Coturnix japonica: one gene and its partners. The protein of the gene in region 1 interacts with the protein of each later gene in a biochemical or structural test. Links are inferred from orthologs where the notes say so. Each region holds a gene or a part of one and is shown in the gene's direction. Other genes may lie near its edges.

Region 1 (3,408 bases):
CTTGGAGGTGTTCAAGACCAGGTTGGACAGGGCCCTGGGCAACCTGATCTAGTAAATGTGTATGTTTGGTGGCCCTGCCAGGCAGGGGGGTTGGAACTACATGATCCTTGAGGTCCCTTCCAACCCGGGTCATTCTGTGATTCTGTGAACTGTAAGCATGTGGAAGCAGGTGAGAGACGCTGTTTCTTCCTTTCCTAGATGTTTGTGACACAGTCCAGCCCTCACTGTAGCCTGTCCTGCTCTTGCTGAAATATAAACTACAATCTGTATTTTTAAGGGTTTAGTCATATTAAAAAAAACGCGTACAGATCAAGTCAACTTAAGAGGTACGGAAAGAAATACTTGTACTAAATTACTAAGGTGGGCTAGAGAATAATGGCACTGTAGAATTAGAGAGGTATTGGCACACTTGTTCAAACAACAGCTCAGCTTAATTATGTATTGAAAAGCAGTTTTGGATCAAAGCTGTCTAATCACCCTGGAGAAATGTCAGCACACAATATTACTCTGTTGTAAGTAATTCTGTCTCTAGAGGATACTGCCCTAAATTCAGGGTTGGTGTTTTTATAAAAGCAGGTCTGCTTTCTGGTTAACTTGGAAGAAACATTTAAATTTACACACAGTCTCTACTCGGGTGCTGGGATGTACTACTTGAGATTGCCCTGCTAGGTAGACGTATGATGTTGATTTTATTTTAATAAGTCTTTCTCTTTCACATCTAGGCTGATGCACCTAACCCAGGGCTTATTCCAGATGCAGATGCAGTAGGTGTAACAGTTGTGCTAATTACATGCACCTATCGAGGTCAAGAATTTATTAGAGTAGGCTACTACGTAAACAACGAATATACGGAAACAGAACTGAGGGAGAATCCACCAGTAAAACCAGACTTTTCTAAGGTAAGGCACGTTCAGTTCTAGTCTATCTATTGTATGCTTAGAAAATATTCCTAGGAAGTAAACTCCAAATATTCCATAAATTACATTGAATAACACAAAAAGACTGGGGGACAAAGTGGAAGTTCTGTGCAGTTGCCCTAAATTTGGTGAACATTTAGAAATCAGTAACAGTTTCTGCTAATTTGAAGCTTTGTTTGGATGTCAGTGTGAGCTTACACTGATGAAATGAAATAGACTGGTTCCCTCTACCTGAATCCCTGTTGACAAAGTGGCCCATTCTTCCAAAAAAAACCAGAAACATGTTTTTTAAGGGACAGGTAATTAGGATCTGAAATTGAAGTGTTAATTCAACACAGTCCCTACACAACTATTCTGATATTCTGTAAAGCAGAAACTGAAGAACAACTTCTCTATGAAAAGAGAGAAGATGGGTAACATGGTAAGAGCAGGCTGGATGACTATTCAATAAATGGACGACACAGAAAAGAAGTTAAAACATAAACTTTAAAAACAGTTACTTTCATGCTAAAAACTGAACCAGGAGTAGAATAAAAATGAGATGTGAAACAGAATTATCTGGAGGAGAAAAGCCAATTAAACATCAAAAACTTGTCAGACCAAGTCGTGTGGAACAGAGCAGCAGTTCTCCTGTGTGGACAAACACATGGGGTTCTGTGCTGTATCCTGGCTTGCTTTAGTGGAAGATCTTGTAGAACTGGGGCTTCCCATTTATGAAAGCTGATGTATACATGTTCATGTCCACAGTGGTCGTGATAAAAATATGGCTATTTCTCAAGTGTACATGAACTAGATATGTTATTCCACTCAGTTCTTCATATATGTTGTAATGACTAGTGCAGATATAATCCCCATAATCTGAAACAGATCTTAAAATGTAACTAAGCTTAAAGTCATATGTAAACTGGTTTTTAAAAGTTGCTAGTGGTTTTCTATGCTAAACTTTATTTTCAGGGATTGGATCAGAAGCCTTGAGTGTACTCTGAATTCACAGTTACTGTTAATTTTTGATCCTTAAACTTATCTGTTCCTTTTTTATTTATTGTATTGTTGAATTTGCAATTACACTAACAAATTATTTTGCACGTATATGGATATGGGAGTAAAGGGGGGAAAAAAAACCACAAATGCATGTGAGTTCTGATTGGAGACATAAACACTGTATAATCTGTTTCTTTTCTTCCCACCCAGCTTCAAAGGAATATTTTGGCATCTAATCCCAGAGTCACAAGATTTCACATTAACTGGGAGGACAACACTGAAAAACTGGAAGACGCAGAGAGCAGTAACCCAAATCTACAGTCACTGCTTTCGACAGATGCGTTACCTTCAGCATCAAAGGGATGGTCAACATCAGAAAATTCATTAAATGTTATGTTAGAATCTCATATGGACTGCATGTGACTAACCACCATCGTTTTGGTACTGTACATGTATTAAACTGTAAAAACAACCAGAACTATTTCCCTCAGTTTCCCTAAGTATATAGTTGACAAGCAATGTGAAGAACCTGTTTTAAAACATCCTGTAGAAAGTTTATAAAAAACAAAAAAAACCCTAAAAAACAGTATTTGATCAAATTGTGGAATATAAATACAACTATTTTTAAGTAATTGTTTTTTTTCTCTAACTTGTTACTCTGTTGGTTTAAATTGAACCTTATTAAAGTATGCATTTTCCTTCCCCCTTCCCCTTTACTTTGTAAGCACTGATGAAAGCAAAAAAACTGAAAGTTGAAATATTCAGGCAAAATGAAGCAATAATGCTGTGCTGTGTCCTCTCTGATAGCCAGATGCCAAATATAAAGTGCCCTTTAATTAAACACCTGAAGAGCAAAGCTGTTATTAGAGGAAGTGCTAAGACAAGTGTTTGCTGCTTTAAAAAAAACAAGACCCCAACAGTCCTCTTTCTGTGGAAGCACGGTATAATTTTAAGTGCAAGCTTCTTTTCGTTTCAAGGCACATAGTGGTTACTTAAAGCGTGCAATTTGAGATTTACCATCTGCTGTCTTCAATTTCTTTTTCTTAATCTCCTGCTGCTAGTTAAACAGTGGTTTGTTGAGGACAGTGCTTCGTATGGCTTTAGGAATCCATTTCATGAGAAAACTCTTTGGCAGCCACTGAATGGTATATGTAGGTGGTTGGAAGGATTCAAGCAATTGTTAGAAAACTTAAGTGTCAAAAAGAATAATATGAGCACCCCAAGAAATGGCTCTTCTGTGAGACTGTTACACACTGTTGCTGGTTCATACACTGATTTTTCAAGTATGCTGTGCTCTCGTGTTTTTAATTCGTAATAAGGAGTTTAGATGTTTTCTTTCAGTTTTTTGAACCATCTGGAATTTAAAATATTTCTGTGTTTTGTTACCCTTTAAGGCCACTGGTATAAATTAAGATTCAAACCCTTTTGTGGCAGGCACTACCTACTTGAGAATGCACTGCCTATCTCTAAGGTCTTGCAGTGAGACATTCCCTACCTGAGGCATCCTTGA
Region 2 (3,500 bases), on another chromosome or scaffold:
CTTCCAACCCGGGTCATTCTGTGATTCTGTGTGATTCTGTGGTTCTGCAATCTGCGGTAGTTTTTTGTGAGATGTATATTTGTTTTGCTTTCCGTGTAGTATCTGTTAGAAGTTTTGGTCTCTGTCTATGCTGATAAAATCATTCAGAATTACACTTGTTTATGAAACGTAAGTCACTGCTATCCATAACCAATACGTTCCTTGCAACTATTGAGATTTATGTAGGAACAGTTTCAAATGTGTGTGATTTTTTAATTATTATTATATTTTTTTAACCCCAAAACATGTACAGCTGTTACATTTACCTGTACCTGTTTGTCTTAATGATCAGTTCCTTTGCTGGCTTTTAGAGGCCACTTAGAAGACGTGTATGATATTTGTTGGACCTCAGATGGGAATTACATGGCATCTGCCTCCGTAGATAACACGGCTATAATGTGGGATGTCATTAAAGGTAAGTACTGCATTTTATCCATTGTGGTTCCAGCCCTGATGTATCCCTGGGTATTTACCAAAGTAATTAAGCGCATCTTTATTTAGTGAGAGAACAGTCAACTTACTTGGTAGATTTCTGGAATTGTGAGGCATTTAAAGATTTAAAGATACTTTCAGGTCAACAAAGTTTATACACAAGTAATCACTTCAGATTACTTGGAAAGTGAATGTCACCCTTTCTTCCCACCTCCCTCAATCAAGCTCATACCCCACGCTCCCCAACAAGTAAACAAAATTTGACTGGTATCAACGAACTACTTCAGTTAAATCCAGAAGAACTTAGAAGGTGGTTGTTTTGCAAGCTATGACACTTCTTTACACTATGGTCAGCAAAACGCTTTTGTTCATTCTCATCCCTCTGCTGTGGGATTGCTCATATTCTCCTAGAAAAGCCCTGTGGAGGTTTGACCAGTTTAGAATATTTAGGACACTGCAGTTCCCAACTGCGTGTTTATAGCTGCCAATAACCAACTACTTTAGGCTCCTTGACAGGAGTTTAGTATTTTCTGATGAGGCAATGTGATCGTTACTTTCACTTCTAATTTCATGTGGATATAGTTGACTTTCCCTAAGTATAACTTCCATAAGTATAAGCATTCTTGCTGCTTTCTTTTAGCGTGGAATTACTGCTGTGGAGGAAATGTATATCTTCTAGGCAGTATCAGAACTAGTAAGTCAGAAGTAAGAAGCCAGTACTGGAAGATATAGGACTTGTGTTGAAGTTGTTAGCCATGAAAGTAAAGAGTTCAAGGAGAGCTGAGATTGCATAGTTTAAGAACAACAACAAGAAAACAAAACAAAAACCTGAATGAAAGAAAGAATATTAATAAAAGAAATCCATGGGGTTTGTTGAGTACAAAGACAACATCACTGGCTTAAGGAATTGTTTACTGCTGGAAACTCAGAGGACATCCTGGCTGCCCAGGGAGGTGGTGGAGTCTCCTCTGGAGATATCAAGACCCACCTGGACGCCTACTGTGTGACGTGGTGTAGGGAGCCTGCTTTAGCAGGTGGATTGGGCTCAATGATCTTAGAGGTCCTTCCAACCCCTACAATTCTGTGATTCTGTGAGAAGTACCATTGTGTGCTCACTTTCTTCTTATGCTCTTAGGCATCTGCTGTTGGGCACTGTCTGAGAACAGGGACTTTCGGACCAGAAAGACTTACGGAAATTTGCAGCACGACCTCAACTCTTTGTTATCTTTTCAAAGGGCTGCGTAACTGACAGTTAAAATGAAGTATTTTATGAGAATGACATGTACCTGTACGTTGTCCTAGCACCAAAAATTTTGATATGCTTTTAGTTTTGAAATGTGCACATTTGATGCGTGACCCAGGCTGCTTATCTGAGTTAGTTCTCAGGGAACAGCCCTTGAATTGTCATTGCCAATTGTCTGCATCTAGCTGCTTTATTTCTAGAATTTACCTGTTTCTAACATTCTTGTCAGGTGCCACCGGGATAGATTTGCATGTTCAAAAGATTATTTGTTAACATTTTAAAACATTCTACTTTGTTTTATTTCTGAAATGAAGAAATGTTTTTAAAGCATGTTTGAATTGAAAATTTGGGAACTGTTTGTAATTTCAGGACAGAAGATTTCAATATTAAATGAACACAAGAGTTATGTCCAAGGAATAACCTGGGATCCTCTAGGCCAGTACATTGCAACTCTGAGTTGTGATAGGTGAGCTGTTGCTCTAAGTGTTTTGCCTTGATGTTCTTTCTTAAACATACTTATAAGTCGTGCTCAGGTATATGCTATAAATGTGACTTTTGTATGGGTTCGCATTGTTCTGTAAGAAGGTTGAGGTGAAAGCAACATGCTAATTTAGTTAGCTTTATGACTGTGCTAAATGATTCCTGAGGTATGAATGTCTTCTAAATGACAGGTAAGCTTAGGTAACCTTTCAAAGAAAATTGTCTTTAGGCAATAAGTTTTCATGCCATTAGCCATGAGAGATACCAGATGCATCTTAAAGAGACGGCTGCATTCTCTGGTTGTCAGTGAGTTAATAAGTCCATCCTTATCAATACATTTTACAGAAAGATACGAACAGGTTAAGTAATCAGTTCAAGTGTTTTTCCACGGATACCTTTCTTTTGCCCTCTTGCTCCCTCCCATCCCCAGCAGTTTTGTAAGTGATGTCACTGGGAAAGCAAATGCACGCTTCATAAAAGTTGGGCCTTGTCAGAACTTTGCAGTTCAGCTTAAACTGTTAAGGGCATGTGTGCTGCTCTGAAGGGATTGCAGCTGGCTAATAAATGCATGTCGTCTGGCACCCACTGCAAAGAAAATTGCTGTCATAGTGCAGAAGTAGTGTTAAGATTTACAGTAGGCTATGAGAAATGGTGAGTTAATGACTTCTAGTTCATTATGAGCCTCTGTTTTTTGATAATCACTTACGTGAAATTTGCTTGCTTTTATTAAAATGAACAGCAGCAAAACATGAGTAATATTGTGATGCACAAGTTTTTCTTGGAGTCAAGTCACAAACTAGAGCATGAACTAATGTGAGTAGAGGAAGTTCCCTACCTCCTCACGTTTCAGACACTTCTGCAAGGTTGGCAAATATTATCTAGCTCAGCAAGAGTCCAACAAGAGCCAGTGCTGGTGCTTGGACTGGATGTTCAGCAGCCTGGAGTGGGGAGATTTCCTCTACTTTTGCCAGGCCAGCTTAGCTGTGTGGCACCCAGAGCCTGTGGTTCCACAGCTGCCTCAAACCTACTGCTGAATGCCACAGCATCGCCTTCTGTTTTTTCCTCCTTCTTCCATCAGGACTTTGTGGAGCTGATTCAGCAAAGCAAAACTATCTTCTGTTAGGTTAGTCTTCTACCAGCCTAACCAGTGTAACCCAGCAAAAGCTTTAGTGGGTGTCAGAGCTGGCAGAAGGAGCGGGACATTTAGACAAGCCCTTAGAATTGCTTTGGCTACCTGCTGTTTTAGTGAGATGAAGTCAGCAGAGCTCAAACATTCTCCTTTCTGTAACACTCCAGTTTTCATTTA
Region 3 (3,500 bases), on another chromosome or scaffold:
AGGAAAAAACCCCAACCACTAGTTTGTCACAGATAGATATGAGTATGTGTGCATGTGTTGAGGAGATCTTCTATAGAGTGATGAAAACACTATTTTGTAACACCTTTTCAGTGTGCATAAGTTTTCTTTTTTGGTGAGTTGTTTGTGTTCTGATTGATGTCAGATTTCATAATCTAATCATTTTGCCCCATGTTTTATTAACAATTTCATTCATGTAATTTAATATTCAGGCAGCTGTTGTTAAAGTTATTGTTATTAAACTAGATTGTCATAACTTTGATCTTGCAGTTGGATATGTCATTTAATTATGTCTCTAAATTCTGCTGTAGGTTTTGCACGGTGTTAGAATACTGTGAAGGCAATGACTTGGATTTCTATCTCAAGCAACATAAATTGATGTCAGAGAAGGAAGCTAGGTCCATTGTAATGCAAATAGTAAATGCACTACGATATCTCAATGAGATCAAGCCCCCTATTATACACTATGATCTTAAACCAGGTAAATGAGAAATAACAAAATTGAAAATGTCATCACATTTTTACCCTCATTTTGTTTATAATTCATGCCTCAAAATAGCAGTTATCTTTGGCTTGTCAGATTGATTTTAATCTGAGAGGTAGATACTTTTTTTTCCTAATTTTACAGTTAATATAATCTGTCTCTTTTTATAAAACTACTTGTTACAACTTTTCTCCTTTGTGTTATTTTGGTTTGTATTTGTAGGAAGATGTCATAGAGCCTGTAGATGCATTAGTATTTAACAGTATAAGCATGTAAGATCCTCTCTGATCATTATAGAATGTTGATTTGTAAATAATATTTTCCTTATATATTTCTTAGCCTATAAAGGGTTGAAATAATGACTTTCTGCATCTAAGGATAAACGTTTTCAACAAGGACTTTGCAGAATGATTTACTGATTCTGAATCTATTTTTTTTTCCTTATGCATTTTTGCATGTTTATAGTCTTATTTTACTACATCTTTATCTGAAACAGTTCAGCTTTTCTTCATGAAGCTGGTCTAAATACCACTGTTAATTGGATCTCTTCTCTAAATCCTGGTCAAGTTTTTTAGTAATAATAACAATGAATACTGTCTTTAACAATGTACTTTTGTTGTATTCTGTCTTTCACATTTTTTGTGAATTTTAATCTGCTAGACTTTCAAGTCTAGGGTTTGTAGTGTAGCCATTAGTGCCAGGCTGTTTGCTTGCTGAATTTTTCATACAGATTTCTATTAAAGGATAACAGATTTAATATTATGAAATTGTGAAGCATATAGTCTTAGTCTCATTAGTTTTTGCTCTGTTTTTAGAGAAAACTTGTCAAATGATTTTAAAAAATGAAATTATTGCACAACTTTAACGTGTGGAATTGTATTTTTTTGAACTGCAGCAGTGCATTGGCACTATTTCCTGGCATGTGCAGACCCTGAAATGTGTAGTTTAGAATTCTTTCTGGACAGAAAAGTACAAAATTTCATTATGGCTGGTATACTGTTTTATATTGCTGTCCTGACAGCTCCAAGTTGAGGAAGCCATCTAACATGATAGGAACACTCTGCGTTATCACTACTGAGACAGCACTGAAATGTCACAGTCCAGATACTTTAGACTCAAGTTCATAAAAATGATGTAAAGATGTCATTGACCCCTCATTAACTTGAATGTTCCTGAAAATTTTGGCTTGTTTTGGAAACGAAGCATTCCGGTGGTATTTTTTGAAGTTAAAAATGTATTTTTTCCCCTCTGTTTAGGTAATATTCTTCTTGTAGATGGAACAGCATGTGGAGAAATAAAAATTACTGATTTTGGCTTGTCCAAAATTATGGATGATGATAGCTATGGTGTGGATGGAATGGATTTAACTTCACAGGGAGCAGGAACTTACTGGTAATGCCTGGTTTGATTCTCTTCTTAGGATATTTTTGAGGCTTCTGAAATGCTTTCATAAAGCTAATTCCTTGAGATAGCTAGGATTAAAAATACTAACAAGAATGACAAACAAAGATTTTTGTGCAGTATTGTGGATCTTGATATTCATGAAATTTCAGGAATAGTGCCATAACTGAAATAAGTTAGGAATATATATATATAAAATGTGGAGCAAATCTCTGGTTTATAAACATTGTTTCCCAGAAGAAGCAGGTGTTTAATCTTTGGCTGCAGGTAGTTAAAGATGTTTGACAGAGCTGTGATGATTAAGTGTGGGTGCTTAGTCCTTGGAAATCTTAGAGCAGGGATTACCAGAAGGTAATGTCCTTAGGATAAAAGAGTATTTACTCTTCCATCCTAAAGGTTAATGACAGCTGAGGAGCTGTAACTTGTTTTCTGTGTGTACCCACATACTTGTCCAAAAACCTGAAATCTTAAAGCTGCCTACAGAGCGAGATGACAAAAAAAACCACCCAATTGATTGCTAACAGAAAAGCCATTTCTAGAATTTGTTCCCTAAAGATGCAAGTTGATACAAGAGATCTTTGAGCCTGTGTGCACAGTACCTGTGTCAGGGTGAGTGGAATAGAAAAACTATATTGACCAGACTTTGTGAATTGATCCGTTCATTTTTCTCCTCTTCTGCCTATAGCAAAATAGGATTCAGCTTTTGGTTCTTAACTCTAAATGGGGAAGCCAGTGTCCTTCCGATTTCTTCTTCAACTTTTCCTGTATTTGGAAGTTGCATGTAATAGATTTAGTCTTTTCCTTGAGAATTTCTGGGAAGAAAAGCCTCACGCATACTCTTGAGTGAATGGAAATGTGCACGTCCTGTGAAAAGACAGTCATCCAAGTTGAAGCATTTTGGAAATGTTAGACTGTTGCTGCTTTCCTTAATGCTCCAATTTAAACATGAGTTTAAATATATAATTGTAGCAACACTATTCAAAAAGTTTGGGCCTTTGGCTTTCATTGGAAGCACCACATGCACTAGTTGTGGTGGGAACTGACAGATTTAAAGTTGTTTGTGACCATTAGACACTGATGATAAATCTCCATGTTTATAATTTTTGCTTTCTCTGAGGGAAAGTTTTGAGTTAGTTTTAGATGAGGATAAGTCAGTGTAAGGAAAATGGCATAAACTCAGCAATGTAGTACTGGGAGAGATTTTTTCAGTCACTGGGTCAAGTTACCTGTCCTTCCAAGCATTCAGGTCATGTAATCTGCTCTGTAAACTTAGAGCCATTTGTATTAAATTTGGTGTTTTGTACCCACTCATCTCTGATTTGAAGTTTGTTCCATAACCTCAGTTCTATAATCATTAGAAACTTAATCTTCTAATTTATGGAACTGTTTACTTGTAGCCATTTTGTACTTGTTTGCTCCTGTACCAACACTTGTCTTCTTTGAAATAGGTTGTTTCCCTTCCTGATACTTGCTCCCTTGTATTTTTATAGTGTTTGGCTTTTTTCTGCATCGTGGCTTTCTATTCTTCGTGTCATCTCAGTACTTTTTCTGTGTGCTTGCATTAGTTCAAGCCCATCTTTCTTGTATGTTGCCATCA

Evidence for each region.
Region 2: the proteins of ASF1A (region 1) and CHAF1B form a complex in vitro, tested with the Homo sapiens proteins (2 studies listed by BioGRID and IntAct). The link is inferred for Coturnix japonica from reciprocal best matches to the Homo sapiens genes ASF1A and CHAF1B.
Region 3: of the proteins of ASF1A (region 1) and TLK1, one has a biochemical effect on the other in vitro, tested with the Homo sapiens proteins (3 studies listed by BioGRID). The link is inferred for Coturnix japonica from reciprocal best matches to the Homo sapiens genes ASF1A and TLK1.

The regions. Positions count from the first base shown.
Region 1 is NC_029518.1:57,099,836-57,103,243, reverse strand, and holds the end of ASF1A (histone chaperone ASF1A), read left to right. Parts: intron 1-722; coding exon 723-899; intron 900-2,108; coding exon 2,109-2,321; 3' UTR 2,322-2,908; downstream 2,909-3,408. UniProt on the Homo sapiens protein: Histone chaperone that facilitates histone deposition and histone exchange and removal during nucleosome assembly and disassembly.
Region 2 is NC_029516.1:96,003,866-96,007,365, forward strand, and holds part of CHAF1B (chromatin assembly factor 1 subunit B), read left to right. Parts: intron 1-350; coding exon 351-454; intron 455-2,083; coding exon 2,084-2,180; intron 2,181-3,500. UniProt on the Homo sapiens protein: Acts as a component of the histone chaperone complex chromatin assembly factor 1 (CAF-1), which assembles histone octamers onto DNA during replication and repair.
Region 3 is NC_029522.1:16,215,894-16,219,393, forward strand, and holds part of TLK1 (serine/threonine-protein kinase tousled-like 1), read left to right. Parts: intron 1-329; coding exon 330-499; intron 500-1,758; coding exon 1,759-1,894; intron 1,895-3,500. UniProt on the Homo sapiens protein: Rapidly and transiently inhibited by phosphorylation following the generation of DNA double-stranded breaks during S-phase. This is cell cycle checkpoint and ATM-pathway dependent and appears to regulate processes involved in chromatin assembly.